Linked DNA regions of Arabidopsis thaliana. The protein of the gene in region 3 interacts with the protein of the main gene of each other region in a pairwise test. Each region holds a gene or a part of one and is shown on either strand. Other genes may lie near its edges. The genes, in order: HB21, AGL86, AT4G01460 and AT4G20970.

Region 1 (8,169 bases), on a different chromosome or scaffold from region 3:
CCCGTTAGCTATTCCTTTCCATTATTTCTGCTATTTTCATTTTTTCCTAGTTTACATTTTTCTATATTATTATTGTTATATATTTCCATAATTTTGTTTGATTTTGCTGGCCGATTTCATCGTACGGACCTAACCCGGTTCGGTTTGGTTCAACTGTATTTCTATTATATTTTCTGGAAGTTTTTCTATTAACTATAATATATATTAGGTGATCACTCTCGATACGTCGCAGTTTTTTCGGATTCTTTTGTATTGTTTAATTTAAATATAATTTTTATTTATCTAATCATTCACTCATGCAATAAAAAATTATTTCAGTATTAAAATATTTTTTTTCTAACAACATTCTCAATAATGCATCATACACATCATTCATAAACAACGTTCATCTTAAACCAATTTAACAGAGGGTAGTGTTCGTAATTAGAAACATAAGAATTTGATGATGGATCGGAGCTCCGTACGTATTATGTACCCTCGATGATTTATTATATAAATATCAATTTAAAAAATAAACTACTCAAATCATTAACTAATTCACGACTATTATACACTCATACTTTGAGTTTGGATTACAAAAAAATCTTCGAGTATGAAAAAACTATTAAAATAAAATATTTAAATAAATTTATTGAAAAATTTATTGAAAAATCATGTAATATTTAAATAAATTTAGTAATAGTACAGTAAATATGTAAAATAAAATCATATATAAAATTAAATAATAAATTTATCATTAACTTATAAATTAAAAATTGAAAAGTTTACATTAATTATTTAATAGACACATGATAAATGTTAAAGTGATGATGTATCGATCATATGTAAAGAGTTGGATAATTTATATATATATATATATATATATATATATTTTATATTGTTATAGTGCTATAATGCTATGTCAATCTTGAAGGAGATAAAAATATATTTGAATAAAATGACGTTTCAATAACAAAATAATAGTAATGGCAATCAATAAACTATGTCAGTTAATTGAATTTTTATCTTCCACGAAATACGCAATACGCAATTCATTATTGATGTTTTACTGAAATCGAGTGATAAACTATAGGCATAAAAAATTATACTACTATAAAACAACAAGTGAAAATGTTACATTTAATATTACAATAAATGAAACATGTGATATCACAAGGAACAACAACATCTTAAAATCGTAACTCCATTTTGATGCATGACATATTTTATCCCATATCACATTACACGACTTGCAATATGCCAAGAAGTCACATAAAGTAAATGCACATAATTGTTCAAATAAAAGAAAAGGTCCATAAATGAGTTTACTAGTACACCAACCAAACATTTACTCAACCTAATACGTCATACATATTAGGACTTGACTTACACTCGCCAGGACAATCTCCAACTCTCTCCATTGATAGAAATCGTAATTTATTGCTCTCTTTGTTTTCCGTGCAATTTATTTTTCGATCATGAGAATGAAAATATTTTTTCAAACTAGAAAACAAAATAATAGAATCAAAGCAAGACCGGATGTTTAAAAAACAAGACAAATCAAAAAAAAATATTTTGTTAAATCAAAACAACGACAAAAAAGAAACAAGACAAATCAAAACAAGACCGGCGTAAGATTTAGGTAACTAGTATTAATTTTGTTATGGACTTTGTATGATACACTTCCTTTAATAAATATCAGAATTCAAAAAACAAAAACAAAAAGAGTTACCTATGAGAATCTAAAATTCTGCTACTCACATAAATAGTAAACGTGACAAATGATATCACGAACTACAAAGTCTAATGATTCGAAGTAAATAATAACAGTGCACATCCCAATGCATTGGTTAAATCGCCAAGAATTTTCTTAAACATACATTATAAGAAAACATCAAAAACTTATCTTACACGCTCCAAAACCAAGATTATAGGTACCCTAATAAAACACATGTTTATAAAGCTACCTAAACAATGATTAGCCGAGAAAGGAGAAAACATTAACCATACGATAAGAAAGTACTTAATTAATTAAGTAATCACATGAGTGAAGTTATATAACAACAATCTGAACTTAACTAAGGATTAGTAGAAGCAAGATTTTCAGTAATGTCGTTATTACCAGCAGAAAGGTCGACATTGTTACTAACGTTGTTGCTCTTCTTGGAGAGATTTTGTTTGTTGTTGTGCATCCAAACTTTAAGAACTCTTCTCCTAATTCCAATCTCTTGACAAAGCTGTTGAACAACAGATTCCTCTTGTCTCTGAATCTTCCAACCAACTCTTTCCGCAAAACTAATCATCTTCTCCTTTTGCTCTTGTGTAAACTTTGTCCTAAACCTTTTCTTCTGATTATGTCCGTAACTATACGGTGATGGTGGTGGTGGTGGCTGCCGGAATGTCAAGCTTCCTCCGCCTTCTTCCTCCATAAGATCCTCTGACTCTGAGTTGGATCCAGCGGTTGTAACGCCAATAGGCATTATCATTTGTTGTGGTAATGGTGATTTGATCATCTTGTGGTGGAACATGAGTTTTCTCTGCTGCGGAGGTGGTTGGTGGTGGTTGAGGTAAGGGGAAAAGAATGTTTTCTCTTCACCTTCGGTTTCTCTTCTATGAAAGTTTCTATGGCAGTTGCAAACTGAGCAAGTGAGAGCTTCAATGGAACCTTCTTCACCACTTGGCATAAACTCTCCACAACCATCAATGGCATTGCCTCCCATGGTAGCTGCATGGTTCTTTAGGCATTCCTTGTACTTTATCACCACAGGCTTCTCTTTCTTGATGTTGGTAACCATGATGTTGTAACCCACATGATGATGATGAGAATGATCATGATTTTTACCAAGACCATTACTATTTGAGGAGACTAGTAGTGGGTTTGAAGTAGTAATGTTGAGAGATGATGGTGCAGAATTGGCATGATGATGATGGTTCATGTTCCCATGCCCACCTCCACTATTACCATAACTAGTGTTTATTGGAATAGGATCTTCTTGACTTGCAATCTCCATTCTTTTGATCTATCTGCCAAGGAAATAAACACGATTTTATATTTAAAACTTTTTTTGGGTTTTGCAAAGTGTTTCTTGGTTTGGGGACAAAGAAACTAGTTAGGAAGAAAAAAACAAGAGTAAAGATAATTAATGAGTAAAATTCAAATGATTAAGCTACAAAAAGGCAAGAGCTTTCTTCACTACTCATTAACCCCATTTTTTTAATTATTTCCTCCAAACAAAAAGAAAAACCCTAATTTTAGAAGGTCCATAAAGATAGAGAACAAAACGAAAAAGTACAAAAGAAAAGAAAAACTTATTGCAAGCCTGCTTAAGCAAAAGCTGACAAACCCACTTGAGAAAGAAAGGTCTTATTCCAAGTGAGAGGTTGATGATAATCAAGAAGACAATCTTTATTGTATCACCAAAACAAAATTGTTCTATTTAAACCAAATGAAAAAATTGACTGAAGAAGTTAAGAGCACATACCCACAACCAGAAAGAGCAGCAAACTTTATCTCAAAATGAAACCTTTCTTGAGAATAACCACAAGGTTCTGAGAATAGAGAGAGGCTAAGGAGTTTAGAGATTTAATTAGGGTTTTATAAAGTGATAGACTTTGAAGAAAGAAGATAAAGAGAGAGAGAGAGAGAGAGAGAAAGAGAGAATTGCAGGTGGGTTTTGGATGTGAAGGCACTTCTTAAACTAAGGGCTTAGAGTATTAGTAGTGAAAGCCAATAAAGCATGAGAAAGACACATGAGAGCCATAGCCATAGCTAATTATTTCCTCACTTTTCTACAGACAAAGAGAAAAAAGATCATTAATTAATTACACCTAGTTTTCATTTTATTAATTCATATATAGGATATTTTATTCAATAATGTCTCTACCAAATTAAAATTTGGGTGATAATATATAGACAAAAACAATACAATTGTGATCAAAATATGGAAAAGAAAAAGTGTAGCTAAATTATTTGAAACAAAAAAAGCTACATCATTTAATTTAAAATTTGAAGAAACAACAACAATCACTAAATTAGACTTTATAAGATAAGTAGTTATTCATTTTTATATACATTTTTACTCATGAAATGTCATTTTATAATATTGATATATCGCAGTCATTGATGAATTGAAGGTTATATTGAATATAAGACCATCCTCATTCTTCATTGGTGATACTTTGAGGGTGTCTTTAAATTAAAAATAATAGAAAAAGATAATTTAATGTTTTTAATTGTGTAATAGTGTCTTTAGAAAGACATTTTAGATCTCTAAAATAGAAGCTGTCTTTAATTTAATTTTAATTTATTTTTGAGATATCTACAAAGGTATGAGTAATGTGGATGCTCTAAGATTTTCATATTCACCCAAAACAAATTATCAGTAAAGGGAAAGAAAAAAAAGAAGAGAGCCAAGAATTAGGATTATGGGAGATTGCTTGTCTTGCACTATCAGACATCAAATTTACAACAGTGTAGAAACGTGTCAGATAATTAGTGGGAAGAGTATTGAAGTAGATAACAAAGAGAAAGTCATAATAAATAACAATATCTCATCTTTGTTCCAAAACATTAAATAACTAAAAATTTGGTAGTAAGGTATAATAATAATATTTTTTACCATCTTAAAATTTAAAAGTGTGAGATTGATACTAATTCAAAACGAAAGAATGTTCTAAACATTACTATAAAGCCTTAACTTGTTAAGCTAGTTAATTAAAAACACATATTGTTCCTTTACCCTTCGGCCTTCGCCATTAATTATGTCACGTATGATATTAGCTTCAAGAGGTTGTCATGTCATGCTTGTGAATTTATATGATTTACTTGAAGTTACTATTAATTATTGGTCCTACCAAATATGTGCACTTATATACCATGATCATCCGTTTTCTGGAACATACAATTGTGAGAAAGAATCAAAAGATAAACAATAAAATAAAAATATCATAATCAACTGATAATATAGTTACTGAAATATATTCATAAACCAAAGTTTGTTACGAGTTTTGTTAAGACCAAAATCTCGATTATTATTAAGTTTTGATAATATAAAGTTTTTGGTTTATATTGCGGGCTATCAGTGTTGTAAAATTAGACTCTATGTTATAGATGATATATGAACAATTGCTCTTGGGTGGCAGAATTGTAAATTTTGGCCTAAAAGTATATATAGTAAGTCTTGGTAAATAGATTTTTTTTATTGCTTTACATTTTCGACTTAATTATCACTAATCCCTATTTTTATATTTCTTTAAAATCAAACAAATGAAAACATCAAATCACCAATACATATTAAGATTTTACCTGAAAACTATTACTTTCTTGCTTAAGATTATTATTTCTGCTTCTTGATGACTAATGTTTTAAGATATATTTTTCTTTTTGACGGTCAAAAAATATGTTTCATTTTCATGTTTTGACCTTTTAGGTATAATTGTTCTAATCGACAAACTTAATTCGTTTTAGAAAAGTTCTAACAAACACGACAAGTTGTTGTCTCAACTACGGTGGCGGTTGTTCCTCTAGGTGAGTGGGGACTAATCTCATTTTTATTGATTCGTAAAAGAAGCACTAACTACCAAATTGCGGCAATTGCTAATGACCATTCAAGTCTTAATTACACAAAACACAATTAAGAAATAAGAGCAGTTCACTTTCTTAGTTTATAATTTCCTTGTGACCTTGTGGGCTTTTATTTTATAATACAAAAAAAACAAAAATTGAGATACTTTTATCTTTTTCTTTTGTTTTCTTCTTGTTTCTATGTGTTGTCTATTCTTCTGGACTCTGGTAAAATTCCTTCCATTGTAGCAGCTTTTTCAAAAACAACTCTTTTATTTTCTTTGTACCTTACGGTTTACGATATCATCAGAATAATGGCAAATAAATGCATACTCCATATAATTTAATTTAATTTCCCGTCGTCCATACTATGTATTTATTCACACGTCAAGTGACTTTTATTCGAGGTGATGTAAAAAAAAAAGCGACTTGTATTCGAGGTATAAGAAACAAATAAAATAAAAGGGACCACAAGAATATTTTTCAAATTATTCAATTATTAAGAAAAAACATAATTAATGAAAATGGTAAATTATTTAATATATATTTTTTCCTGTGTCGTTAGTTATATAATTTTTTGAAAATATAATCTACGATATTTAATTATATGCCGCTTACGTGATTGAGATAAACAGTTTTCACGAACAAGATTTTATGGTACAACTCTCCCTATAATATTATCCGTTTTTTACATGGATCAAATTTAATTTCTGTTTCGGCATGTAAGAAGTTCATATATTTCAATCGAAATAAATAAATAGATAGTATATTATCCTTATGAAAAGTTCTAATTATATATCGCATAATTACGTACGTATCATTGTTGATGAGTGTAGGATGAAAAATGGTTTTGCTCTTTGGGATTTCGATTGGTTTGGGATGGATGTTTGATTCTTTTGAAGTTCTAGCTAATCATAACCATTTTTCTTATAAACTGAATATGGTATTTTTTTTTTTAAATAAAATATTTTGAATTAATATTGGTTTGGATTTTGAGGCTTACGATATTTGTAGACAATGATGTTTTCCATCATGGTCAAAGTAAAAACTAAAATATTAAACACTTTAATCAAGAAAAATAAATTTATATATAGTCTTTACGTTTTATTTTATATATCTTTTTTAAAAAAACTAATACATACTACGAAAACTATTAAAATTTATACCATTTCTCTTATTAATAAAGTACTTTATTTTATCTCTCTAATTATTATAGAAGTAAAATATCAAACAAAATATAAACTTTTTTTTTTCTTCTTTTTTTACAAAACAAAACATAAACTTTGGTTGCACTGACAGTGAAAAACGACTCATATTATTCCAAACATAAACAATTTTTCCTAAAACTAAACTACATAAAATATTAGAATGTAGCCGAAACCTACATTATTCCAAACGGTGTGAGTAAACATGTTGGTAGTTGCTAATGCTACCTCGGTCGTGTCGTATTTCAGTAAAACGTCGTTGTTATACTGAAACGATATCGACTTCATAACATCGACATCGTTTTAAGAATTCAATATTGGCTAAGTAAAATAATGTCACTTTATTATAGTACTATACGTGGTTTCTGAATTAACACATACTAATATGTTGACTCAAGTCTTTTGAGTCAAGATAGGTTTTAGTTACACTCGAATAGTTTATGTATAATACACCAATTGGTATATAAAAGCGCATATTTGTTTGGGTTGAAATAAGTTGTGTTTCGCATTGACAATATAAAATGATATATCTTGTGAAACCAGAGTTAAATGTGAAAACGAAAATTATTATAACATAGCGTAAATACACAATTACACAACAAAATTAGCTTTTGTCATGTATTATATTTTTTTTATTGAAACATTGAATACTATTTTAAACAGAAAACATATGCGTTTATGGGGATGGGGATAGGACTGGAGGGCAATGCTTGTACCATGGAAAACAAGGAGTTTGAATTTGGTTCACGGATATCTTCGCGTCGGTTAGAGAAGCTAGTAATCGATGAATTGGTTTTGAATTGGCTTGGAATTTTGAATTTGGTGAAAGAAGAAAAGGCTCGGTTCTAGCATGGGCAAGGTGAGATGCTAGGAGCAGAGTAACCACTATTGCTATTGCAGAGAGCCTTACAATCATTTTCATGTTTTATTTGGGAATAAAAACGTTTACCGTCGCTTCCTTATTTATACGGTTTTGATCAAAATAACAAAAAAGCAATATGATCTTTTTTGTTGACTAGCTTTTATTTTTTGTGACCAAAAAAGAAGGCAATACATATGATGGATTTATTACTAGAATTATCTATTCGATATATATCAATATGGTTGTATTAGTTGATTATGTAGTGATGCAATGGTAAGATATAGTTTATAAATCAGTTTTCTATATTTAGTTGAGATAATTCCAGTCTATAATATTTATTGACATAAAAATATTATTTCGTGAAGAATTTGTTTCATTTGTTTTTAGAAGTAATCCTTTATCCGATTATTTACTTATGATTTATATTAATAAAACAATAATTACTAAAAATCATCTACATTTGTTTAAAAAATTTGTAATATCTTTTAAAACTTATGTGAAAAAACAAATAATACTCTTTCTTAGAGTTACTTTCACATTTTCAGTATTTAACAGCCTAT
Region 2 (7,219 bases), on a different chromosome or scaffold from region 3:
GAACATTATGGATTGGGTTTAGCCCATGGTTAGATGACCATTTGACAGTTCTAACTTGAGTTATGGGCCTCATTAGGCCCATTTGATATTCACATGGGCTGATTAATATATTAAAAGAAAAAAAAAAGAAATTTGAGAAAGGAATAGCTAGGCCTAGGGCTTCGTCAGGAATCTCCATGAAACGCAAGGACGTACAGATTTTGTAGCAGCCGAAGTAAGTTAGGTCCGATATCGCTACAGTATCTAGATTGCCTGCGAAGTCTGTAATGAAGAGCCACAAAAACTAAAGTCATTTGCCGAATCAAATCTAGGGTTTGTTTAGGAGGCGCCATGAAATGTAACGAGCGAGATTGTAATAACGATAACGGGGAGGAAGATGAGAAAGACACAAACACAAGTAGGTTAGACTTAGATTCGCTCCCTCTTGATCTAAATATGGTTGTACTAGCTAGATTGCCTGCCAAGTCTCTTATGAAGTTTTGATTCGTGTCAAAGATGTGGCAATCCATCATCCGAAGCCGAGGGTTCATTGATTACTTCTTCTCTATGTCCTCGAAGCAATCGCGGTTAAATTACCTGCTACCACTGCTTTGATCGTGGGATACGATCCTATTGATGATCAACACAAAGCATTATCCTTGAAGAGAAAAAGGTATGATATCTAGTGGTCATCTGGAGAACAAGTTATGAACATTGGGAGATGGTGAAGTATGGATACACATTAAAGATACCCCTTTACCTTATAGGGCGGGTCATCAAGCGAGTGTATTCATCAACGGTTTTCTCTACTAAGCTGCTTTCTTAACCAAAACTAAAGAGACAGTTTTGGTTTGTTTTCATTTTAGAACTGAGAAACTGAGTTTTATCAATGCACTTAAGGGTTTTGTGCAATGGGGAAGTGAAGCAGTATTCATTGAATACAAAGGGAAGCTTGCTTCCATTGTGAGCGACCATTATGATCGGTTTCCATAGTTTCGATTTATGGATACTAGAAGACGTCGAGAAACATGAATGGTCAAAGCAAACATGTGTGTTTCCCTCCTCTTTTTGGGATGATGTTGAGTGTGCTAAAATGTCATTTCCAGACACCAACAAGGCTGGTGAGATCATTATTGCCCCAAAGAGGTTGTCACTCAATTTTCGACCCTTCTACATTTTCTACTACAATGTTGAAACAAAAAACATAAGAAGAGTTAAAGCTCCTAGGATTTGGAGACAGTGAAGAGTTTAGGCGCTCTTATGGATTCGAAAGAACCTCCGGCTCCCGTGAATCTCTTGTTCTGATCGCACATAACCACACGTCCAGAGTGTTGGCTTTTTTAAGGATCCTAGAATTAATTTAACTTGATTCGTAGGATCCTAATGTAAGAGATAACTGAAAACTTGCCTTTTATTTTAGTTTCATTATTTTATCATGTTGATTTTTCAAATTTTCAACACTAAACAAGCTACAGTTTGTATTGTTAATCTTTTGGGTTTGCTGAGACGTGTGTTCATTATTTATGTTCATGTTTTTACTTCTTTAGTGTGTTCATTTGCTCGCTATATAGGTAGGTGTGGGAAGTAAATAAATTATGGATTGAGAAAGAGATATACAGAGTATTGATGTTTTTGCGAATAATATATCCAAAGTAAGATTTTCTATGAAACAAAATATATTTGATTTTAGCAGATCTATTTAGTTATGTATTTTAAGAACAAAAAACAAAGTAAAAACAAATTTATGACCAAACTTCTTCAAATATAATTGAAATATCCGGCTCTACGGCGCAGAAATACATTACCCAATACATAAAAATATAACTGACTTAAAGGTAAAACCTTCAACTCTTACAACAATTAACTGAAAAGAAAAGACATTATTAGAGATTGGTCTTTTGAAATGGACAAAACACAAATGCAAACTACTGAAACACATCACACAACGGTGGTGTTGGTGGTGGTGGTGGTGGTGGCGTTGTTGGAAGGCATGTGACCGGTGGTAGTAAGACCAACGGTTGGTGGTTGGTGGTAGTTGTAGTAGTTTCCGTTCATGAAAGGGATGTGTGCATGCTCTGCAGCATAACCCACTTGTTCATAAGGATATTCCATCAACATCTCCATGAATGGATCATCTTGAAACGGATACTGATGATTTGGATCCAAACTGAGATTATCATAGATTCCATGTTGGATCTGATGATTAAAATCCACAGGAGCTTGGTATTGAATATTATCACTAAAAGCAGTAGGGATATAGGGCTGAATCGGCTCATACTGATTCTGAGCCATAGGAGGACCGGCACCCGCAACAGCAAGAGGAGCCGCACCCACACCCGCAACAGCAAGAGGACTCGCACCCGCCCCCGCAACAGCAAGAGGAGCCGCACCCGCACCCGCAACAACAAGAGGAGCAGCACCCGCACCCGCACCCGCACCCGCAACTGAAGTATGAAGCGGAGGAGGAAAGGAAGAAGAAGACGCACCATTGTTTGTAAGGAGCATGACACTTGAATTAAGCTGATTGATATAGTGATCAATATAAAGACTTAAATCTTGAAGGTCCCTTGCACCATACTGATGCTCACTCATCTTACCTTCAACACAATCAAACATAAATTGCCTAAGCTGAGATTCTCGGTTTTCACGACGTAGACTCTCCAGTTTCTTTGTTTCTTTGGTAATTTTGTCCTGCAAGTAGGTCTCATGACTCATCATCAGCTTGGATTGTTCTGTCGCCGGCCTCTCCATAAACATGGAAACCGCCTCTTGAACACCTTCGGTTGACGGCCACACCACTGGATTCTCGTACGGACTGGAGATTACCGCACATGCTTTGACGCCGCAGAGAGTTGTTAGCTCATGGAGTTTGTTCGTTATCCCTCCCTTCCTCTTCCTGAATGTGGTTCTCCTTGAGGTCTTATTAGCTATGAGTGATAACTTAATTTTCGACCTCATTATCTTTGTTTTTCTTTTCTTTGGTGTGTGTTTTGTTTACTTTCTTGGCCCAAGACTGTCTTGTTTATATAGAAATGAAAATTGTGCTTTTACACAGTACGTGGCTTTTCACGTTGCTGGACTCATTAGATTTGTTTTGTGTTTACTGTCTCATTAATTGACGAGGCCACTAATTAAAGCTATGTCTAAGAATAGATTTTCTTTTCTTTTTACTAAGAATAGTTTATCTTCCTATATTACTCTCACTTTTCTTTTAAGAGTAATTTAAAGTTTTGTTTATAAACTATGAAATTTAGTAATAGTTTGAAGTGTTTTTTTTTCTTCTTTTTAAATAGAGTACTCCATCTTCAATTTACATGTAAAATCATGAATATATACAAGCTCAAAAGAGTTGTTTATTTATAGAAAAAAAATGAAAACAATATAACGTGAGTCTTACGAAATATTTAGAAAGCACGAAAGTTTTTGAAAACAATGTAACATGAATCTCACGAAATATGTGTTCTATTTCTAAGAAAATCTTTAAACTACCTATATACATTAAAGGAGAACATACCAAGAAGTTTGTAAACCAATATAATAAGATAATAAAATATCATTAAAATTTATATTAATTAATTTAGTAAAAATATTTGATACTTACAATAATAACAAATGAAAATATATAATAGTAGAGTATTAGAGAAAAATATATTTTTTTAAATCTCAGATTTGGTTATATGAACTTTTTTAATAAATATATTAAAAGAACATTTGTCATGGCCTGCAGGTCCACCTGATTTTTTTTAATCATTAAGTTGATTCTAATTAAAAGGAAATTTGGATAAAATAACTGTTTTATACATTAATAGATGGATTTCTTTCCTCTTTTGGCTCAGTAATAAATTAGTTTAGAGATAATTTGTTAAATCATGCATATATTATACCTTTTGGAGAATACTTTTTCTTTTATTGGGTTAGAATATTTCATTGCATTGCCAGCTAATTATAAGCTGTAAATAGGGAAATTAAAGATTTTAGACTACGTATAGAAAACTTCCAGTTGTTTTTACATACCCAAAGAAATATCTAAACTTTAAAGTATTAATATTTAAATATAGTTTAATTATATATTAATTTTTGGTTTAAAAGCAAAAAATGAACCAATTAAAAAAAGACAAGTGTAATATACCCAAAGTTCAAGTTAATATACCAAAAGTTCTTATTTAAGAACCTTTCTCTTATTTCTCTCATACTTTTTTTGTGTGGTATGATTATAATGAGAGAGAATCCAAAAAAAATGGAGGTCTAACAATAACCAAAAAATAAGAAAAACAAGAATGCACATCGTTAATTAGACTTTGTTTGACTGGTTCTCTTCTTATCAATTACATTTACAAAATGTAGAAATTTCTCTAAAATAAATAGCATATTTATTGATTTTTGATTAAATGTTTTCAAATAGTTATAAAAATACTATAGAGTAGAAGATATTACATGAGAGAATGGTAAATAATTCAATCCAGTAGTAGTTTAATTTCCATTCTCTTTAAATGCTAAATTTTATTTCAAGCTCACCGTATATTTTTGGCTCAGATAATAAATAACTTTCATCTGCCATAAAACACTAATTTTCATGTTTATTTATATGTTTAGTTAGGGGCGACTTAAGCTACTTATAGTTATAGGTCATGTTCAAAAGTTTAACTATAGATATCTTAAATAAGGTCCATATATATACATAAGAACTTTTTTTGGTAATCACGATCCGTTTAATCTATGTATTTAATTTACACATACTAAAACAATTCAAGGTATAGTCGATCTTATCTGAACGTTGTAGTAAGCATAACTGGTCACCAAAAATATGTTCTTAGTTGAAGTACACACTTGAATCCAACCCAAAAAACCTCGTCAGTGTTGGGATGATACACGAAGTGAAGCCTATAGTTGAAATAGAACGCTAGGAAGCCATTTTTCTAAAAAAAAATCTTAATGAATACTTAGTAGGTGATAGGTACAGATAGAGATACATTAAGGCTTGTGTTAATTTCAAATTACCTTAGGCCCATAATATATGCATATCCTAAAATATACCTTATTTTCTTAATATCTCAGCTTTTTATTTAAAATTTTCAGAAGAGCCAAATCAATTTAACCATATTCAATCTTAATACAGTCTTTAAAACGGTTTTTAAAGGAGAAGCTTCAGGTGGCACGCATCGAACTAGGAAGACCCTCTAAATCAAGGAGAAGTATCAGAAGGCACTTTACTTAAACACCACAGTCTACTGCTTCTACTTGGAGTTGTATTCACTGAATTACCTGCCTTAGCAACTGCAAACAAAAAATAGAAAACCAGTCTCTGTCCCATCGGAGAGGCCTTACACGGGACCAAAGCAAAGGCCTTTGGGGTGCTCTTTAGGGTCACATGAGCTAAGGATGCTACTCGGTGGTGCAAGGGAGTTATAACTCTTTCAAGATTTCTCCCATTCTTGAAAGAATCCAGAAAGCAAGATTCGCAAGTGTTCGGGAATATGCTTCAAGAAGCCCATGCATGACCAATGTCCTGAAAACAAAGAAGAAGGATTTAATATCGACAAATAATTGTATTGTAAAGTATGACATGTTTCAGAACATAAACTAAGAAAGATGTAATTAGTTCTGTTTATGTTTACATTGCCATATTGGATCTTTGTGGCATTAAGAAACGAGTGAGGAAGATTAGAGTGTTTGGATTTGATCTGATTTCTAAGCGCTTCTTTTCGGTTCAAGAGTGATTCACTGCGACCAATTTCAACAATGGTTCTCCTCGTATATATACTCAATGGTACTTCTCCTCCTATATATACAACTTCCGTCCTGAACTCTCTTCAAAATATTTAATCATATAAGTATTTAACCATAATGAAGGCTTGAAAAGTATTGATGTTTTTTGGAAACAAAATCCTATCTGATTTTGGCAGATCTATTTAGTTATGCATTTTAAGAACAAAAAGCTCGTAAAAAATAATTTGTGACCAAACAGAAATGACTTCATTGAAATAGAACTGACTTAAAGGTAAAACCTTCAACTCTTACAACAACTAATTGAAAAGGAAAAGCATAATTAAATACTGGTCTTTTAAAACAAACAAAACACAAAATGCACACTACTGAAACACATCACACATTGTTGTTGTTGTTGTTGTTGGTGGTGGTGGTGGTGGTGGAAGGCATGTGACCGGTGGAAGTAAGACCAACGGTTGGTGGCTGGTGGTAGTTGTAGTAGTTTCCGTCCATGAAAGGGATGTGTGCATGCTCTCCAACATAACCCGCTTATTCATAAGGATATTCTGTCAACATATTCATGAATGGATCATTTTGAAACGGATACTGATTTGGATCCAAACTCATATTCTGGTTCAAATTCATATCATAGTTTCCTTGTTGAATCTGATGATTAAAATCAACAGGAGCTTGGTATTGAACCGGCTCCTGTTGATTTTGATTCAAATTCATATTCTCAAACTGAAAATGATCACTAAAACCAGTAGGGACATAGGGCTGAACCGGCTCATACTGATTCTGATTCATAGGAAGACCGGCACCTGCAACACCAAGAGCTTGGTAGTGAACCGGCTCTTGTTGATTTTGATACAAATTCATATGCTGATATTGAACATTATCACTAAAAACAGTAGGGATATAAGGCTGAACCGGCTCATACTGCAACTGACTCATAGGAAGACCGCCACCCGCGACAGCAAGACTCTGGTAGTGAACGGGCTCATACTGATTCTGAGTCATAGGAAGACCGGCACCCGCAACAGCAAGAGCCTGGTAATGAACCGGCTCTTGTTGGTTTTGATTGAAGTTCATATTCTGATATTGAATATGATCACTAAAACCAGTAGGGACATAGGGCTGAACCGGCTCATACTGATTCTGGTTCACATTCATGTTATGAAATCCAGTAGGAACATTAACCGCAGCTTGATCTGCAACAACAGGAAGATTGGCACCCGCAACAGCAAACAGAGGAGGAACAGTTACCGCAGCTTGATCAGCAACAACAGGAAGATTGGCACCCGCAACAGCAAACAAAGGAGGAACAGTTACCGCAGCTTGATCTGCAACAACAGGAGGATTGGCACCCGCAACATCAAACAGAGGAGGAACAGAAGAAGAAGACTCACCATATTCTGTAAGGAACTTCTTCCTGGCATTAAGCTGATTAAGATATTGATCAGTAAAAAGACTTAAATCTTGAAGGTCCCTTGCACCATACTGTTGCTCACTCATCTTGCCTCCAACGCAATCA
Region 3 (8,274 bases):
ATTGGTGGAAACATAACGTTGTTGAGAGCTATTCTTTATTGGATCGCTCAATTACTCGGAGCAGTCGTAGCTTGCTTGTTGCTCAAGGTAAGCACTGGCGGGATGGAAACGGCTGCGTTTTCGCTATCATATGGAGTGACGCCCTGGAACGCAGTCGTTTTCGAGATTGTGATGACGTTTGGGTTAGTTTACACGGTTTACGCTACTGCCGTGGATCCCAAGAAAGGTGATATTGGAATCATTGCGCCTTTGGCGATTGGGTTAATCGTTGGAGCTAACATTCTGGTTGGTGGTGCTTTCGACGGTGCATCGATGAACCCCGCGGTTTCATTTGGTCCGGCCGTGGTTAGCTGGATTTGGACGAATCATTGGGTCTATTGGGTTGGTCCTTTTATCGGTGCAGCCATTGCAGCTATTGTTTATGATACTATCTTTATCGGTAGTAATGGACATGAACCACTTCCTTCTAATGATTTCTAAGTTAGGTTTTTTTTTCTTGTGTCTTGTGAAACAAGAAATCTACAGTTGTAGCCTACTATGGGTATTTTGAGGGAGATATGTGTTTTTAATTGTTTTTCACTACTTTTGTTGTTTTAAGTAATTAATAAATTGATTGGTGGAAAATTTACACTAATTTAAATTAGATTAAACTATTATGTGGGGTATACGTAGTATTCTGCCATACTTAAGGAATTCATGTACAAACGAATTTTATTGGAGGCATATTCTTGAGATTATGCTTCCATGGTGAAAACTGAAAATATATCAAACATAATGGGACCCGCCATTATCAATAATACTATGAAGATATATATATGGTTGGTTGGTCCATGCACGTTCTTTATTTTATTTTTGGCCCAAGCACGTTCTGATATGTGAATCTTAGGCTAATGATTTTTTAGTCGATTTAAGTATTGAACAACACACACAAAAAAAGGAATTCAATAAACGGTACTTCGGTGTCCCGGTGTTTGCTCTAAACGCGTTTCCAAGTTTCTTGCACGTTCAAGCAAAGTGCGATGACGAGATTTGATGATACTCACGATGTATATTCCTCAATAACAATAATTGTGATTAGTATTATAAGTTTATATATATAACTCATCGTGGATTTAGAAGAGTTATGTCAATGGTCGATTGGTCGTATGTTTTATTGTTTTTACCACATGGAAAACTAACTATTTTATGTATCAAGAATTGTAAATAACATGACATTTGCAGATAACAACTATTTGGGAGAATTCTAAAATTCGCTCGATGATTTAATTTTAAAGATCTACACTAATTGTGCTACGTTGAGCAATTCTCTATTACAAGTTAATTGTGCTACGTTGACCATTTCTCTATTTAAAAATTAAACATATACAAAAACTCTTTACAACTATCAAATATTCTTTTTAAAAAATCAAATAAAAAAAACACCAAAGTAACACATCCTTCGACTTAGAAATCACAATATAAAATCAAAACTTTCGACTTCGAATCAAAGCCCCGAGTTCGTTCAAAAACCTCAATTTCACGAATATGACTCATGAGGACCTACTAAGAATAAAGCTAAGGAATCTTTATTCAAATAAACAAATACCACGCGAAACATTAACGCGTAAATACACGCACGTCAATCTCACGCGGTGGAACGCTCGGCTCTTTTAGTATGGGCTTTAATGGGCCTGTATAGATTAACTGGGCTAATATTTTTAAAAGAAGGACTTTTGTCTTGAGCCCAAAACGAAAATGAGTAATTTGTTTTTGTTTTCTGATAAAAAAAGAGTTTTCCTCAAAAGAAATGAGTAAATGACATATTACTCAATAATTTACTGTAAAAATGACCAAATGGTTTGACTTTGACCAAAAGTTGGAAAAGATCAGAGTTGTTACCAGTCGATTATCTCTGACGTATGATCTTGTCGTTCACTCTTACACACAATATTCAAATAATGTATCATTGCTTTCTGAATAATATGTTTTTGTTTATATTGTTCTTGTATTACAGAATTTAAACATATTGATCGGATTTGTTTTGCTTATGATGTTTAGATTTTTCCCGATTTTTTAATAAGCTTTGAATACAAAAGTTAAATATATGCGGAAACCGATATATGAATTAAAATTTCGAAAAAAGTAATGTGAGTGAGATAGGCTGAGTTTTACGTATTACAAGCGAGACCGATGTGTCAATGAGACTCTGACCATAGGCTTCCTTTTACGATGCTTTTTTACCATTGGAATATTAAAAAAATTCTGCCACCTTTCTCTTCGTTGTTAAAAGTAAAACTAGAGTCATTATACAATAAACAAGTATTTTTAGTCAGTAGACGTTGATGCAAAAGAATACCTTTAAATTTATGTTGTAGCTGTACCTTTTTTATCAAGCGTAGATTTGTCAGACGCATGGACGATATGAGAGTATTAATAAAACGTATATGCAAAATATAAAAAGAGGTTGCGAAGTGTGAAGGCGACTTCTTCTTAGTAATAATGATGTTTCATCTTTAATTGTATTTGTTTCCATTTCCGTAACCATTCTAATACGGACGTCTAAAGTCAATTTCTTAACATTATTACTAAGTGGGAAACATTTATAAATGGAAGTAAATATTACTCATGGTTAACTTTTTTCGTTTTCGGGGTCAAACTGAACTCATAGGTTAGTTTATATTCAAAAATTACAGGCAATAATAACCTAAACCTTCATGTGACCAATAATAATGTCATCGTAGAACACTGCGAGTTTGCTACTAATCTAAAATCCAAAAAGTATAAGATAATAATTAAAACTCCCAAAATTTCACCTCTTTGGTTTTTCTTATTTATATCACGTCCCTTTTCTTTGTAACCTAAAGTTTACACACGTTACTAGGAGTCAAAAGTCAACTAAGTTCGACTAAGATTTGACCACATGACTTCACCGTTGATTTGCTCGAAGATCTGATGAACGGCTGTCGCTATCTCATCTGCTGATCCTAATTTACAACCATCTTCCATCTGCATGCACAACACCATTCATTTCTCATCTCTCCAAAACTAAACAAAAATTAGCAACTTACTAAAAAATTAAACTAAAATTTTCTAAGCTTAGAGTGAAGGAAAAAAATACACACACACACACATAATTGTAGATATTTTCTATTATGGTTTCTCATGCATTTTAATTTTCTTAAGTACCAAACATTTCAAAATGAAGATTCCTTAATTTTCCTCAAAAAGTCAAAAATTGCTAGTTACATAAGACTATTTATAATAATGCTTAAACTAGTGGAAATTGAAACTGATAGTTTAAGAGATGATTAAGAAAATTACCTTGAGATTGAAAGAGTAGATGACAAAGTCAAAGGAAGAAGAGATAGTGAGATGTAGAATCGCAAGCTTTAGTTCTTCAATCGAGACAATAGCTTTTAAGATCTGTCGTTTTCCTCTCTTACACCGAACTTTTAAGCTCACATGGTTCTGTATCACCGTAGCCTCCACTTCTGTCGTATCTCCACCGCCGAATCTCGCCGTAAATCCATTTTCCGACGTCGTAGACACGCTAGAAATAGAAGAGTTAGTGCATGCAAGAGACGAAGATGAAGAACACGACGCCGTTTTAGGAGTTTCATCAGTTCCATCCTTTCGTTTCTCAGCTTCTAGAGATTGCAAGAGTTGCTCTAGTTCCTTGATGAAATCTATTGCCCCTCCTACAATCGAAGCTTGGTCACCCTAGAGAAACAAAAACGTTTTCTTGTTAAAGCTAAATTACGTTCTTGAAAAGAAAAAAAAATTACGTTCTTGTTTAATGAACCCTTAAAACATTTTGTTACCCGTTGAAGAAACGAAGGAGGCATGAGAGATCGGAGAGAGTTTAAGTGTTCGTTCATTTGTCGTCTTCGATTACGTTCGACGGCAATGTGAGTCATCCTTTGGTTTTCAACTTCGTCTTTGTTCTTTGGAGCTCTTGTACGTTTCCGTTTTCTTTTTTCTTTGACCGTTACTGCTCCGTTTTCTGTTCTTGGATCCTTTTCCGGGTCATCTGTTTGACCCGGATCTCTTTTGATGTTTGTTTCAAGGGTGAGACAGCTCTTTGATTCTAGGGTTTGGATCTGGAGAAGTGATTGGAGAAACTGATTTGGTTCTGTTGTTGTAAAAGGGTGTTCTATGCATTGAAGCATTTGCAGAAATGGTATCTTCTCTTCCATAGTAGTGTCTGAAATCTGACCAAATTGGTCTTCTAATTCACCAAAACTCATCAATCCACTCATAATTAGCTTCAACAAAGAAAAAAACAAGAGAGATTAGTTTTAGGATACCATTTTGACAAGAAAACAAAAATCTACTAAATCTTAAAGTGGGTATGAGAAATAAATGGTTTGGTAGGTGAATTCTTAAGACAGAACAAAGAGGATGTACGAGGAGAGAACATTAAATGATGAGAAATAAAGAATGTCGCAGCGAGAGGAAACAATAATAAAAGTAGCAGAATTTGGATAAGCTATTGTAAAATGAATTTACAAGAATTTTGCATTGAATGTTAATCATATGAAAGGAGGAGGAAGAAGAAGAGTAAATGCACAAAACAGTATTCTGTATATGAGAATAAATTACAAGAGAGGCTTACATGAGAAGCTTTATGAGTCTCTCTAATGGAACTGTTTTCTGAAGTAATATTTTTGTAACTTTGAGTATTTAGATATAGGTGTCTTTCCTCAAATAGTCTTCAAATTAACAACTTCTGCTGCTGCTTCTTCTTCTCTCTCTTTCCTCTAAACTAAAAACATTCCTTTAGGGGTTGACACTTTCTAAACTGTTCTTAATAAATGCAGTTTTCCACATATATAAAAGGAGAGAAGACGAGGAAGAGAAGAAGAAGAGGTTCGGTGCATATATGTATAAAAAAACCAAGGGTGAAAAATAAAAATACTATACTATAGCTAAATTATCTAGTTATATATATAGTCGTCGATATTTAGTATTTTACACGCACACATACAGTAATATATGTATGTATTATTAATTAAATATTTAATCCGTGAAACAGATAACCTTTCTTCTTCTTTTTTTAACCTAAATTTTGGACAAAAATATACGTGGGTGTCCTGTCCTCCAGATCAAATATTTATGACCTTGTCCTCTTTGGGCCTTCAAAATAATTTTCTTTCGGGACAATACTCTTTGATTTTTGTTCTTAACGAATTTTACTTTGGTAAATATAAGGAATTCGATAGACTTTGATGAAGGAATTCGATATTTGGCTCGACCAAAAAACATATAAAATACTTTATCTATAAAAATAATTCTACTTAAACAGAAACTTTGAAGATTCACACTAACATATATACATGTTTAAATCATCATCCAAAAATCTTCTTCTGTGTTTGGATATGTTGGCTTCATTGGTGTTACATATATATTAACCGTTTTGACCAAAAAATAATAATATATTAACCGTATTTATTTCATTTTCTTACCATATGTTTTGCTACAACTATTAGAAATTAAGTGTATATATATAATATAACTCTGTATAGACACAATGAGATTGTGCGTTGGGACTAGGAGGGGTCCCGTAAAAGTATTATTGAAGAGGGCAGTGAAGACAGTTTTGTTTGGTGGGGACACGTCTTCCATGAACAGTACTTCTCACTCTTATTAAGACAGTTTCAGGATCAGAAAAGAAGACCAAGCCTCTCTTGCTTCTTCCTCTTTTTCTTTTCTATCTTTAGAGAATTAGTTTTCTCCAATCCAAAAAGGGTTTTCATGTCTTTTACTTCAACTTTTCATTTACTTTGTTTTTTCTCTTTTAATCGAGCTAGAACAAGTACATTATGGGTCTTTAAGTATTTCCCAATATGGTGTGTTGACTTAGTGCTATAAAAATTAAGAATGACAATAGTACCCTTTAAGAAGAGGACGAACAATGCACATGGCCAAGGCCAAGGCCATGGGTGCCAAACGTTAAGTATCCTAATAATACCAACTCGATTTCAGTGCCTTGGTCTGTAGGGCAAACAACAGTACTCTCCCCCAAAAGAAATTTACCTTTTTATTTTTGTTTCCTTCTCCCAAACTACAGATTTTTATTCTACCTCAAAGTCTTTTAAGAACTTGGATTTTGTACCATGCATAAGTGAGTCCAAAACTCACATGCAACCTAATAAAATTGAATAGACTACATTTGAAAAATAGGCCAAACGAATTATGAAGAAAGGAAAATAGATGTATGAAAATATAACACACAAAATGTTTTTATATTATTATAGATAAAGAAAAAAAAAATTACAAGTTTTGTCTAGTACATTATCCACCCAATAAGAGCATGTCACATACCAATTGAGAAAAAAGTGGAGTAAATTTTTATATATTACTTAGCTAAACACAAGAATATCTATAATATATATCATTATCAACATATCATATGTGGATAGCTATTTCTTCAGCCATTATAGGTTCGAATGGAAATCAGTTTGCATTAGACACGCGAACCACATTTTCTTAGGTAGTTCCCTACGTGTAACATTAGACCCGAAATAGCACTTATTTATCGTCAAAGTAAGTATGTAGAATATGATTTTACAATTTATAGTTCTATGTACCATCCATATAACCGAAGATACGGTACTAGTTTGTTTAAGAAAAAAAAAAGAAGATACGATACTAGTAAATGAGAACATATAGGAATTTAGACGAGCGAGGAAAATGGTAATGGGTTTACCCACTTGTGTTTAGATCAATTCCATGAATTGTCTCTCAGTTTACTTTATTCGATTTGACTTGTTTCCAGAAGGCATGTAGAGTTGACAAGTTAAATATGTCTATACAATCTCACATCCATTATGCAATTGGCCACAAATAAAAATTCATTATTTCATCTGTAATAAATGTATCATTCAATATTTTCTGTTAGTTAAGCAAACTAATCAAATTAATTTTGAAGTTTTTAGATATATAATGTATTACAGATAACAAGAAAATGACTTGAAATGGTTTGGTTGGACCTAAGATTAGTAAAGAGAAAATTGCAAAACAAATTTTAAAATCTAATATTTTTGTAAATCTACTCTCCACATTAAAAAAATTGCAAGATTATCATATAAGTCACTCAACCATATACAGTAGAAACTCTATAAATTAATAATGTTGGGACCATGAAATTTTATTAATTTATAGTGATATTAATTTATCCTATAAATTAATATTTATTAATTTATCGTATAAGTTAATAAATATTAATTTATAAAAATATTTATGTAAAATACAATACTATATTCTTTTTAAAATGTTTTTAATTAATTTTCTATATGCTTTGTTGTTTGTATATATAATTATGTTAGTTTTTTATTTTTCTTTGACTTTTTAAATTTATTTTTCAAAATATATTGTGTTTGTATATCCACGACATTAACGTGAACGTAAACGTAAACATGAAGTTTAATCCAATTTTTATTTACACAAATCTTAGCAATGCTTTTTCAAATAAAAGATTTTACAAAATCAACTATGACAGATCAAATACGCAAATAGTTATGTGAGTACAACAGAGATCATACCAGTTATATTTTAAAAAGAGTTGTAATTGTACTTTGAACAAAAATTTCATATAAAAATTAATTAGTCTTAAAATATATACTTAAGATCTATGATTATTAATTTATAATATTATTGGGACTATAATTTTATATAGGGATTTCAAAAAAAATATTATCTTATTATCTTATCGATTTTGGTTACTTTTTACATTGGCCCGACTTGGGACCGGTAAAATTTATTAATTTATCGTGTTTATTAATTTATCGAGTATTAATTTATAGAGTTTCTACTGTAGCTAGTCTTCCACAATATTTGACCATATAACACCATGTATTTTATCTAACATATTATGAAACTAGGCCGTTTTGGACAACTAAAACGAAAAGAAGTTGGAACAACAAAAGGTGAAAACTCAAATCCTTATGTCGATTTGTCGATGAGGTCAAATGCTTGATTCCCCGTCCCCTTCACAGTTTTGTTTCTCAATTTTATTTCAAAAAAAGTAATATCATAATTATAAAAAAACACAGAGTGTATTAGTTACTGTCAAAAATTATATAATACGAGGTTGTAGCAAGTTGAATATTAATCTCGCATCTTATAAATCTAGGAAGTAGGGTTGCAAACAAAACTGATAGTTTGAATATTTGTATTGGCAATTTACTGGTAATAATGTTTTCTTGTAACATTTTTTTTTCTTTCTGATAATTTTTAGCAGATGTCTACAAGAGTTCCTTTTGTACAAAAATGAGATATAAGGATTACAAAAAA
Region 4 (7,456 bases), about 11 Mb from region 3:
TAGTCTTAACCGACTCTTTCAATTACAAATCCAATCTTCTCGTCGTCGTCGTCGTCTCTATTTCTCTACCACCGTTGATGTTAGGGTTTCGGCTGTATTCTCACCGCTGCTGACGGAGACGGCCCGAATCCGCAATTTAATCTTCGAGGTTCGATTTTAGTGAAGAACAAGATTCAATAGTGATATGCAGATCTCATGTCTCCCAATTTCGATTCCTTCGATCACTCCTCGAACCTCAATTCCACTCTTACCATCACTCTCCTCAAATCCTCGCCGCATTTTCAACCTCACTTCACTTCAGAGCCCAAATCACTGTTTCTTCAAAAGATTACATAAATCTCAGACTGGTTTCAGCAATCCAGTTTTGGCTGCCATGAGAAGAGAAGAAGATGTTGAAGTCGATGATTCGTTTTATATGAGAAAGTGTGTGGAGCTAGCAAAAAGAGCAATTGGGTGTACAAGTCCTAATCCTATGGTAGGTTGTGTCATTGTCAAAGATGGTGACATTGTTGGCCAAGGGTTTCATCCCAAAGCTGGTCAGCCTCATGCTGAGGTAACAAAAATTCAATCTTTCTTTGTTGGGTTACTGAAAATGAGCAAACTTTAAGTCTTGCTTGTGGAATTGTTGTTGTTGGCATTGGTATGGTAGGTGTTTGCTCTTAGAGATGCTGGAGAGTTAGCTGAGAATGCTACTGCTTATGTTAGTTTGGAACCATGTAATCATTACGGAAGAACACCGCCGTGTACAGAAGCATTGATTAAGGCTAAGGTGAGAAGAGTTGTTATTGGGATGGTTGATCCGAATCCAATTGTTTTTTCTTCGGGTATTAGTCGGTTGAAAGATGCTGGAATCGATGTTACTGTGAGTGTTGAAGAAGAGTTATGCAAGAAGATGAATGAGGGATTCATCCATCGAATGTTAACAGGGAAGCCTTTTCTCGCCCTCAGGTAAAGTTCATTGCTTCTCTTGAGTGGAGACAAATCCGAGTCAATAGATTGTTTTTAAGTTTTGAAAATCTTTGCAGGTATTCTATGTCTGTCAATGGTTGTTTGCTAGACAAGATTGGGCAAGGGGCTTCGGATAGTGGTGGATACTACTCGAAGCTATTGCAGGAATATGATGCGATAATACTTTCTTCCTCGTTATCGGATGAACTCTCGAGCATTTCTTCACAAGAAGCTATTAATGTTTCGATCCAACCTATTCAGATCATAGTAGCTAGCAATGCACAACAGTCTCATATCCTTGCTTCTTCCCACACTGTGGAAGAATCGGGTCCAAAAGTTGTAGTTTTCACCGCAAAGGAATCGGTTGCAGAATCCGGAATCAGTAGTAGCGGGGTCGAAACCGTAGTATTGGAAAAGATAAACTTGGATTCCATTTTGGATTATTGTTACAACCGTGGACTATGCAGTGTCTTGTTAGATTTGAGGGGGAACGTCAAAGACCTTGAAGTTCTTCTGAGAGATGGATTTGAGCAGAAACTATTGCAGAAAGTAATTATTGAGGTCTTGCCGGAATGGAGCACAAAAGATGAGAGACAGATCGCGTCGATGAAGTGGTTAGAATCAAAGCATGTGAAAGATTTGCAGTCTAAGCAATTAGGTGGAAGCGTTTTGCTAGAGGGCTATTTTTGATGTTTTCATGTATGAATGAATACAAGTCATGATATTTACCTTTTTTAAAGCATAGTATTATTAAGGTTTTACAGATCCTATTATTAATAGATTGATAACAGATTTTTGAGAAAATGTTGTATTTTCAAAAGAAAATATTTTCACATGTTGAGAATCTGATTCGACCTTCTATGGCCTACACATGATGGGTATCCTAAGATGAGATGTTTTTTCTTAATTGGAGTTCATAAACCAAAACCCATAAAAAAAATTAAGGATGTGTAATAGAATGTGAAGTACATTCAATGAGAACTGATTGTTGATGTCGATTGCGTTACAAATTTGACAATTCTTTTTGGATTTTGGTGGAAATGTGAACTAACTGACAACAAACATCAACCATGTTGGATTTGTTTTTGTCAAAACCGATATATCTAGAGATATTCGAAAGAAAGAACGAAATAAACACTATACAATAGTCAATTTTAAATCACTTTATGATTTAACAATCCTAAGTTCCTAACTTCAAATTTAAGATTTACAATAGCATGAATTTTAGTCTTTCTTATTGTTTCATAGCATTATTGTATTAAAAAATTACTCTACAGTTACACCATCTCTCTTTATAATGGTTGTTTCAATTGAGTTAATCATTTACTATTAATCTGAAAATTTGTAGTATGAATGTTATTGTTGGTACACAAATTGGTGATGGAACAAAAGATTAAGAGGATATCTTTTATGTCGACAATGGTCGAGTGGTTCAACAAAATCCACGCAATCGCCTGAGCGAAAAAGTTGACCATACTCAGCCCCACCACTCTCCACTTCATAACCTTTTTCTTTTATCCTTCTTCCTTTTGCATTTATACAAGTATTTTCCAATGACGGAATGCAGAAAGAAAAAAATTTGTTAAGCAAATGTCATAAAATATAAAAATATCTATAGCAAGTGACTGTAACTACGATTAACTCAACCGATTGGAGAATTGAGTAACTTATATCGAACTCAAGTTCGAACATACGCTATATATGAGAGTCAAAATTATTGATCAAAATATGCAATGTAATGGTCCAAAATTCAAAATATTACCAAAAAGAAATTCTATAAGTTAATGTTGGAATTATGATAATAAAAAAATACTAATTGATAGATATGAAACAATTTAAGACGATCCATTTGAGACCCGGGAAATAGATTAGTTTATCAAGTATTAATTTATAAAGATTTTACTTTGGACTATTTGTTCAAAAAACTACGTGATGATGAGTTTTCTATGCAAAATCAATTACCGATATGTGGATGATTCTTGTCTTTTGTAGTAATGTTGGTTATCTTTCACTCTTAATGAGAGGTTTAATATCATGTGAGAGTTAACGAGCTTCTTATTTGAGTCAATTGTAGATAAATAGCTTAACATATGCCCTTATAAACTAGCGTTGATTCTCAATCCAATTTGAAACTATTAACAGAACCATTAAAAACTATATATGAACACATAAAATATATAATTGACCATAACGACGAGTCAAGATATATATTTAAAGAACTTACTTTTTTCCACTTTGTTTTGCTTTTTTTTTTTTTAGTCTTTGGTACATATATATTACAAACCCTTTTCCAGTAAATAGTTAGCACAAACTAATTATCAGATGTCACTTAAACCAACCTCCTTCTTTATATAAGCTTGGTTAACATTGAGTTTGTTATCATGGTCTATGTGAAACAATTCAGGAATAAAAAAAGAAATGGAGCCGAGCCATTCAAACACAGGTCAATCAAGATCTGTAGATCGCAAAACGGTTGAGAAAAATAGAAGGATGCAAATGAAGTCTCTCTACTCAGAACTCATCTCTCTTCTTCCTCATCATTCTTCTACGGTTTCTTCCTCTTGGCCCTCTTATATGCTTATATAATCTAAGATTCCATGTATGGGTGATGATCTTAATATTCTAAACTCTTTTATTATTTCATGTTAGGAGCCTTTAACACTACCTGATCAGCTAGATGAAGCTGCAAACTACATCAAGAAGCTACAAGTGAACGTGGAGAAAAAGAGAGAAAGGAAAAGGAACCTCGTTGCGACTACAACTTTGGAGAAACTGAATTCCGTCGGATCTTCATCGGTTTCGTCGAGCGTCGATGTCTCCGTGCCAAGAAAGCTGCCAAAAATCGAGATTCAAGAAACTGGTTCCATTTTTCACATCTTTCTTGTGACAAGCTTGGAACACAAGTTTATGTTTTGTGAGATCATTCGTGTTCTCACCGAGGAATTAGGAGCTGAGATCACTCATGCTGGATACTCCATTGTTGATGATGCTGTCTTCCACACCCTTCACTGCAAGGTATAATTCGGAAAGTAAAACATTTTTTGCAATGGAATTTAAGAATCAAACTTTGCTACTACTACTATGTTAAAACTAGGTCTAATCCAGCTTGTATACACATTGGGAATGAGTTCAAAGTTAGGGAATGATATTTATACTTGTTGTTTTTATATTTAATAAAACTTGCACTCAAAAACGCTAAGAAGCTGCATGTTCCCATCTGATTGTTAAGTTTCTACTAGCTGATTCCTATTAATATCCATATGTTAGTAAACTAAATTTAATTTATATTTTATATAGGTGGAAGAACACGATTATGGAGCTAGGAGTCAAATTCCTGAAAGACTGGAGAAGATTGTGAACAGTGTTCACTAATATTGATTCCTTGTTCCTTTATTAAAAAAAAAAGTTCTATGTTTTTGTTCCTTTTCTTGAATTATTTTTGGTGTTAGCTAGATTCCTTTTCTTGAATTGTATCATGTGCTGTGAGAGTGATGTTTCATTTGTAAGCATAATATATACTTTTCTCTACTTAAAGCTGTGAAATATATTTTGTTTTTTGGTATCAACAAAGCTGTGAAATATATGAAACTTAGGATGATGATTTTCAAGAACGAAACCAAAAAAAAAAGTTTCTTAGAATTAATACATGAACGAGCGAAATAACTTCACCTTTTTTCAATGTGTTATACTTGCCCAAGCATTTGTAATCTAGTGATAGGAGAAACTTTGGTGATAGGTGAAACTCTCAGATCCGAGTTTGAATATCCCGTGGTATTAGTTAGAAAACATTTAAATTCGGGACAGATAGTGTTGTGGTCCTTCGGGAAAAGTTTACTTCGGAGCACTTTGGTGCGTTTCTATCGAAGCTGACCAGATCAGCAAATAGAGTTTATCAAAAAAAAATGTGTTATACTATTTCAAATTGATGAATTTGAATTCTAAATTTTTATTTTATTTTATTTTTTTCTCAAAGTCAGAAATGAAAAACATGATTTAAGACTTCAAGTGTTATATATGGGTTTTGAAGAATACTAAAGCCCATGAGCCCAAACATTAACAAAAATGTTTTTTTCTTGTACCTTCTCTCTTCAACGTAGACTAAAGAATTAGGGTTTCCGCTTTCCACACACACAGCTGCAACACTATCTTCTCAGAAATGGTAACCGAAGCTTTCGAATTCGTCGCCGTTCCTTTCAATTCCGATGGCTGGGGACCTCCAGACGCTTCCGACGTTTCCTCCTCCGCCTCTCCCACCAGCGTCGCCGCCGCTAATCTTCTCCCGAACGTTCCTTTCGCTTCCTTCTCCCGTTCCGATAAGCTCGGCCGTGTAGCTGATTGGACTCGCAATCTCTCTAATCCATCCGCTCGTCCTAACACCGGATCCAAATCAGATCCGTCTGCAGTTTTCGATTTCTCCGCTTTCGCAATCGACGAAGGCTTCGGTCTCGCTTCCTCCGGTGGTAATCCCGACGAAGACGCAGCTTTCCGTCTCGTCGACGGTAAACCTCCGCCGCGTCCTAAATTCGGACCTAAATGGCGTTTCAATCCTCACCACAATCGGAATCAGCTTCCTCAACGGCGAGATGAAGAAGTTGAAGCTAAGAAGCGTGATGCTGAGAAGGAACGAGCTCGTCGTGATCGTCTCTACAATAACAACCGTAACAACATCCATCACCAACGCCGTGAAGCTGCCGCTTTCAAATCATCCGTTGATATTCAGCCGGAGTGGAACATGCTTGAGCAGATCCCTTTCTCAACATTCTCGAAGCTCTCGTACACAGTTCAAGAACCAGAAGATCTTCTTCTCTGTGGTGGCCTTGAGTACTACAACCGCCTTTTCGATCGCATAACGCCGAAAAACGAACGCAGACTCGAGCGTTTCAAGAACAGGAACTTCTTCAAAGTCACTACTAGTGATGATCCTGTGATTAGGCGTTTAGCTAAGGAAGACAAAGCTACTGTTTTCGCTACTGATGCTATATTAGCTGCTCTTATGTGTGCTCCTAGATCTGTTTACTCTTGGGATATTGTTATTCAACGTGTTGGTAACAAACTGTTCTTTGACAAGAGAGATGGATCACAGCTTGATTTGTTGTCTGTGCATGAGACATCTCAAGAGCCATTGCCTGAGTCTAAAGATGATATCAATTCTGCTCATTCTCTAGGTGTGGAAGCTGCTTACATCAATCAGAACTTTTCGCAGCAGGTTTTGGTTAGAGATGGAAAGAAGGAAACTTTTGATGAAGCCAATCCATTTGCTAATGAAGGTGAAGAGATTGCTTCTGTTGCTTATAGGTATAGAAGGTGGAAGCTTGATGATAATATGCATCTTGTTGCGAGGTGTGAGTTACAGAGTGTTGCTGATCTCAACAACCAAAGGTCGTTTCTTACTTTGAATGCTCTTAACGAGTTTGATCCTAAGTACTCTGGTGTTGATTGGAGACAGAAGCTTGAAACTCAGAGAGGTGCGGTTTTAGCTACAGAATTGAAGAACAATGGAAATAAGTTGGCTAAATGGACTGCACAAGCTTTATTGGCTAATGCTGATATGATGAAGATTGGTTTTGTCTCTAGGGTTCATCCTCGTGATCATTTCAACCATGTTATATTATCTGTTTTGGGGTATAAGCCGAAGGATTTCGCTGGACAGATTAATCTCAACACTTCTAACATGTGGGGGATTGTGAAATCCATAGTTGATCTGTGTATGAAACTAAGCGAAGGGAAGTATGTTCTTGTGAAGGATCCATCGAAGCCTCAAGTGAGGATTTATGAGGTTCCACCTGATGCTTTCGAGAATGATTACGTTGAGGAACCGTTGCCTGAAGATGAACAGGTTCAGCCAACTGAGGAAAACACAGAGGGAGCAGAAGCAAGTGTAGCTGCAACTAAAGAAACCGAGGAGAAGAAAGCTGATGATGCTCAAGCTTGATGGTTATAAAGTCAGGTAGTTCATACAAACAACTCTCAAATTCAAAAGGCGGTTACCATAATATGCTTGTTGGATTTGATTGAACACTTGTTTAGGATCGTGAATTTATACTTAGAACCCAAGAAAATGCAGAAAGTTGGTTCTTACTTCTTAGCCATAGAATCTTGTTCTTATTCATCTGAATTTCATTCTTATAGTTTAGAAACTGGTGACTTAGATTAATTGATGATCTTTATTATAAGTATAAACGTCGTATGAAGCATCGTCATTCACAATTTGGATACTATATTCTTCAGGTCCAAAGTCTACACCTTTCGTTTCTGGGTTCTTTTGAGAGTTGAAGCTTCAATCAAACAACAACAATGGAGGTTCCTTTTTTAATTATCTTGTCCTTTTTCAAATTTTTGTGGTACTGCTGTAATTTTAAGTCAGAAATGAGATTGTAGAACACTATCTTCGTGACATCTTTTGGAAAATCATTACGGATTGTTTACAGAACAGAAATCTTTTTACTATGACTCTTATAGCCACCAAATTTTCTTGAATCATTTTGCATTAGTTTTATAAAATTTGGTA

The links.
Region 1: the proteins of AT4G01460 (region 3) and HB21 interact in binary tests that used the Arabidopsis thaliana proteins (3 or more experiments, as listed by UniProt).
Region 2: the proteins of AT4G01460 (region 3) and AGL86 interact in binary tests that used the Arabidopsis thaliana proteins (3 or more experiments, as listed by UniProt).
Region 4: the proteins of AT4G01460 (region 3) and AT4G20970 interact in binary tests that used the Arabidopsis thaliana proteins (3 or more experiments, as listed by UniProt).

What each region holds. Positions count from the first base shown.
Region 1 is NC_003071.7:679,123-687,291, reverse strand, and holds HB21 (homeobox protein 21), read right to left. Parts: upstream 3,658-8,169; 5' UTR 3,462-3,657; intron 3,004-3,461; 5' UTR 2,991-3,003; coding exon 2,058-2,990; 3' UTR 1,796-2,057; downstream 1-1,795. UniProt on the Arabidopsis thaliana protein: Putative transcription factor.
Region 2 is NC_003070.9:11,316,611-11,323,829, forward strand, and holds AGL86 (AGAMOUS-like 86), read right to left. Parts: upstream 2,938-7,219; coding exon 1,918-2,937; downstream 1-1,917. Other genes in the region: AT1G31620 (uncharacterized protein), read left to right, coding at 331-397, 559-652, 846-942, 1,207-1,284; AGL92 (AGAMOUS-like 92), read right to left, coding at 6,082-6,218, 6,309-7,219. UniProt on the Arabidopsis thaliana protein: Probable transcription factor.
Region 3 is NC_003075.7:617,298-625,571, reverse strand, and holds AT4G01460 (basic helix-loop-helix (bHLH) DNA-binding superfamily protein), read right to left. Parts: upstream 4,882-8,274; 5' UTR 4,595-4,881; exon of another isoform or gene 4,245-4,594; 5' UTR 4,239-4,244; coding exon 3,801-4,238; intron 3,700-3,800; coding exon 3,301-3,699; intron 2,986-3,300; coding exon 2,875-2,985; 3' UTR 2,573-2,874; downstream 1-2,572. Other genes in the region: TIP1;3 (tonoplast intrinsic protein 1;3), read left to right, coding at 1-480.
Region 4 is NC_003075.7:11,211,893-11,219,348, forward strand, and holds AT4G20970 (basic helix-loop-helix (bHLH) DNA-binding superfamily protein), read left to right. Parts: upstream 1-3,219; 5' UTR 3,220-3,366; coding exon 3,367-3,498; intron 3,499-3,597; coding exon 3,598-3,963; intron 3,964-4,245; coding exon 4,246-4,320; 3' UTR 4,321-4,540; downstream 4,541-7,456. Other genes in the region: PyrD (Cytidine/deoxycytidylate deaminase family protein), read left to right, coding at 185-553, 650-948, 1,026-1,638; AT4G20980 (Eukaryotic translation initiation factor 3 subunit 7 (eIF-3)), read left to right, coding at 5,105-6,880.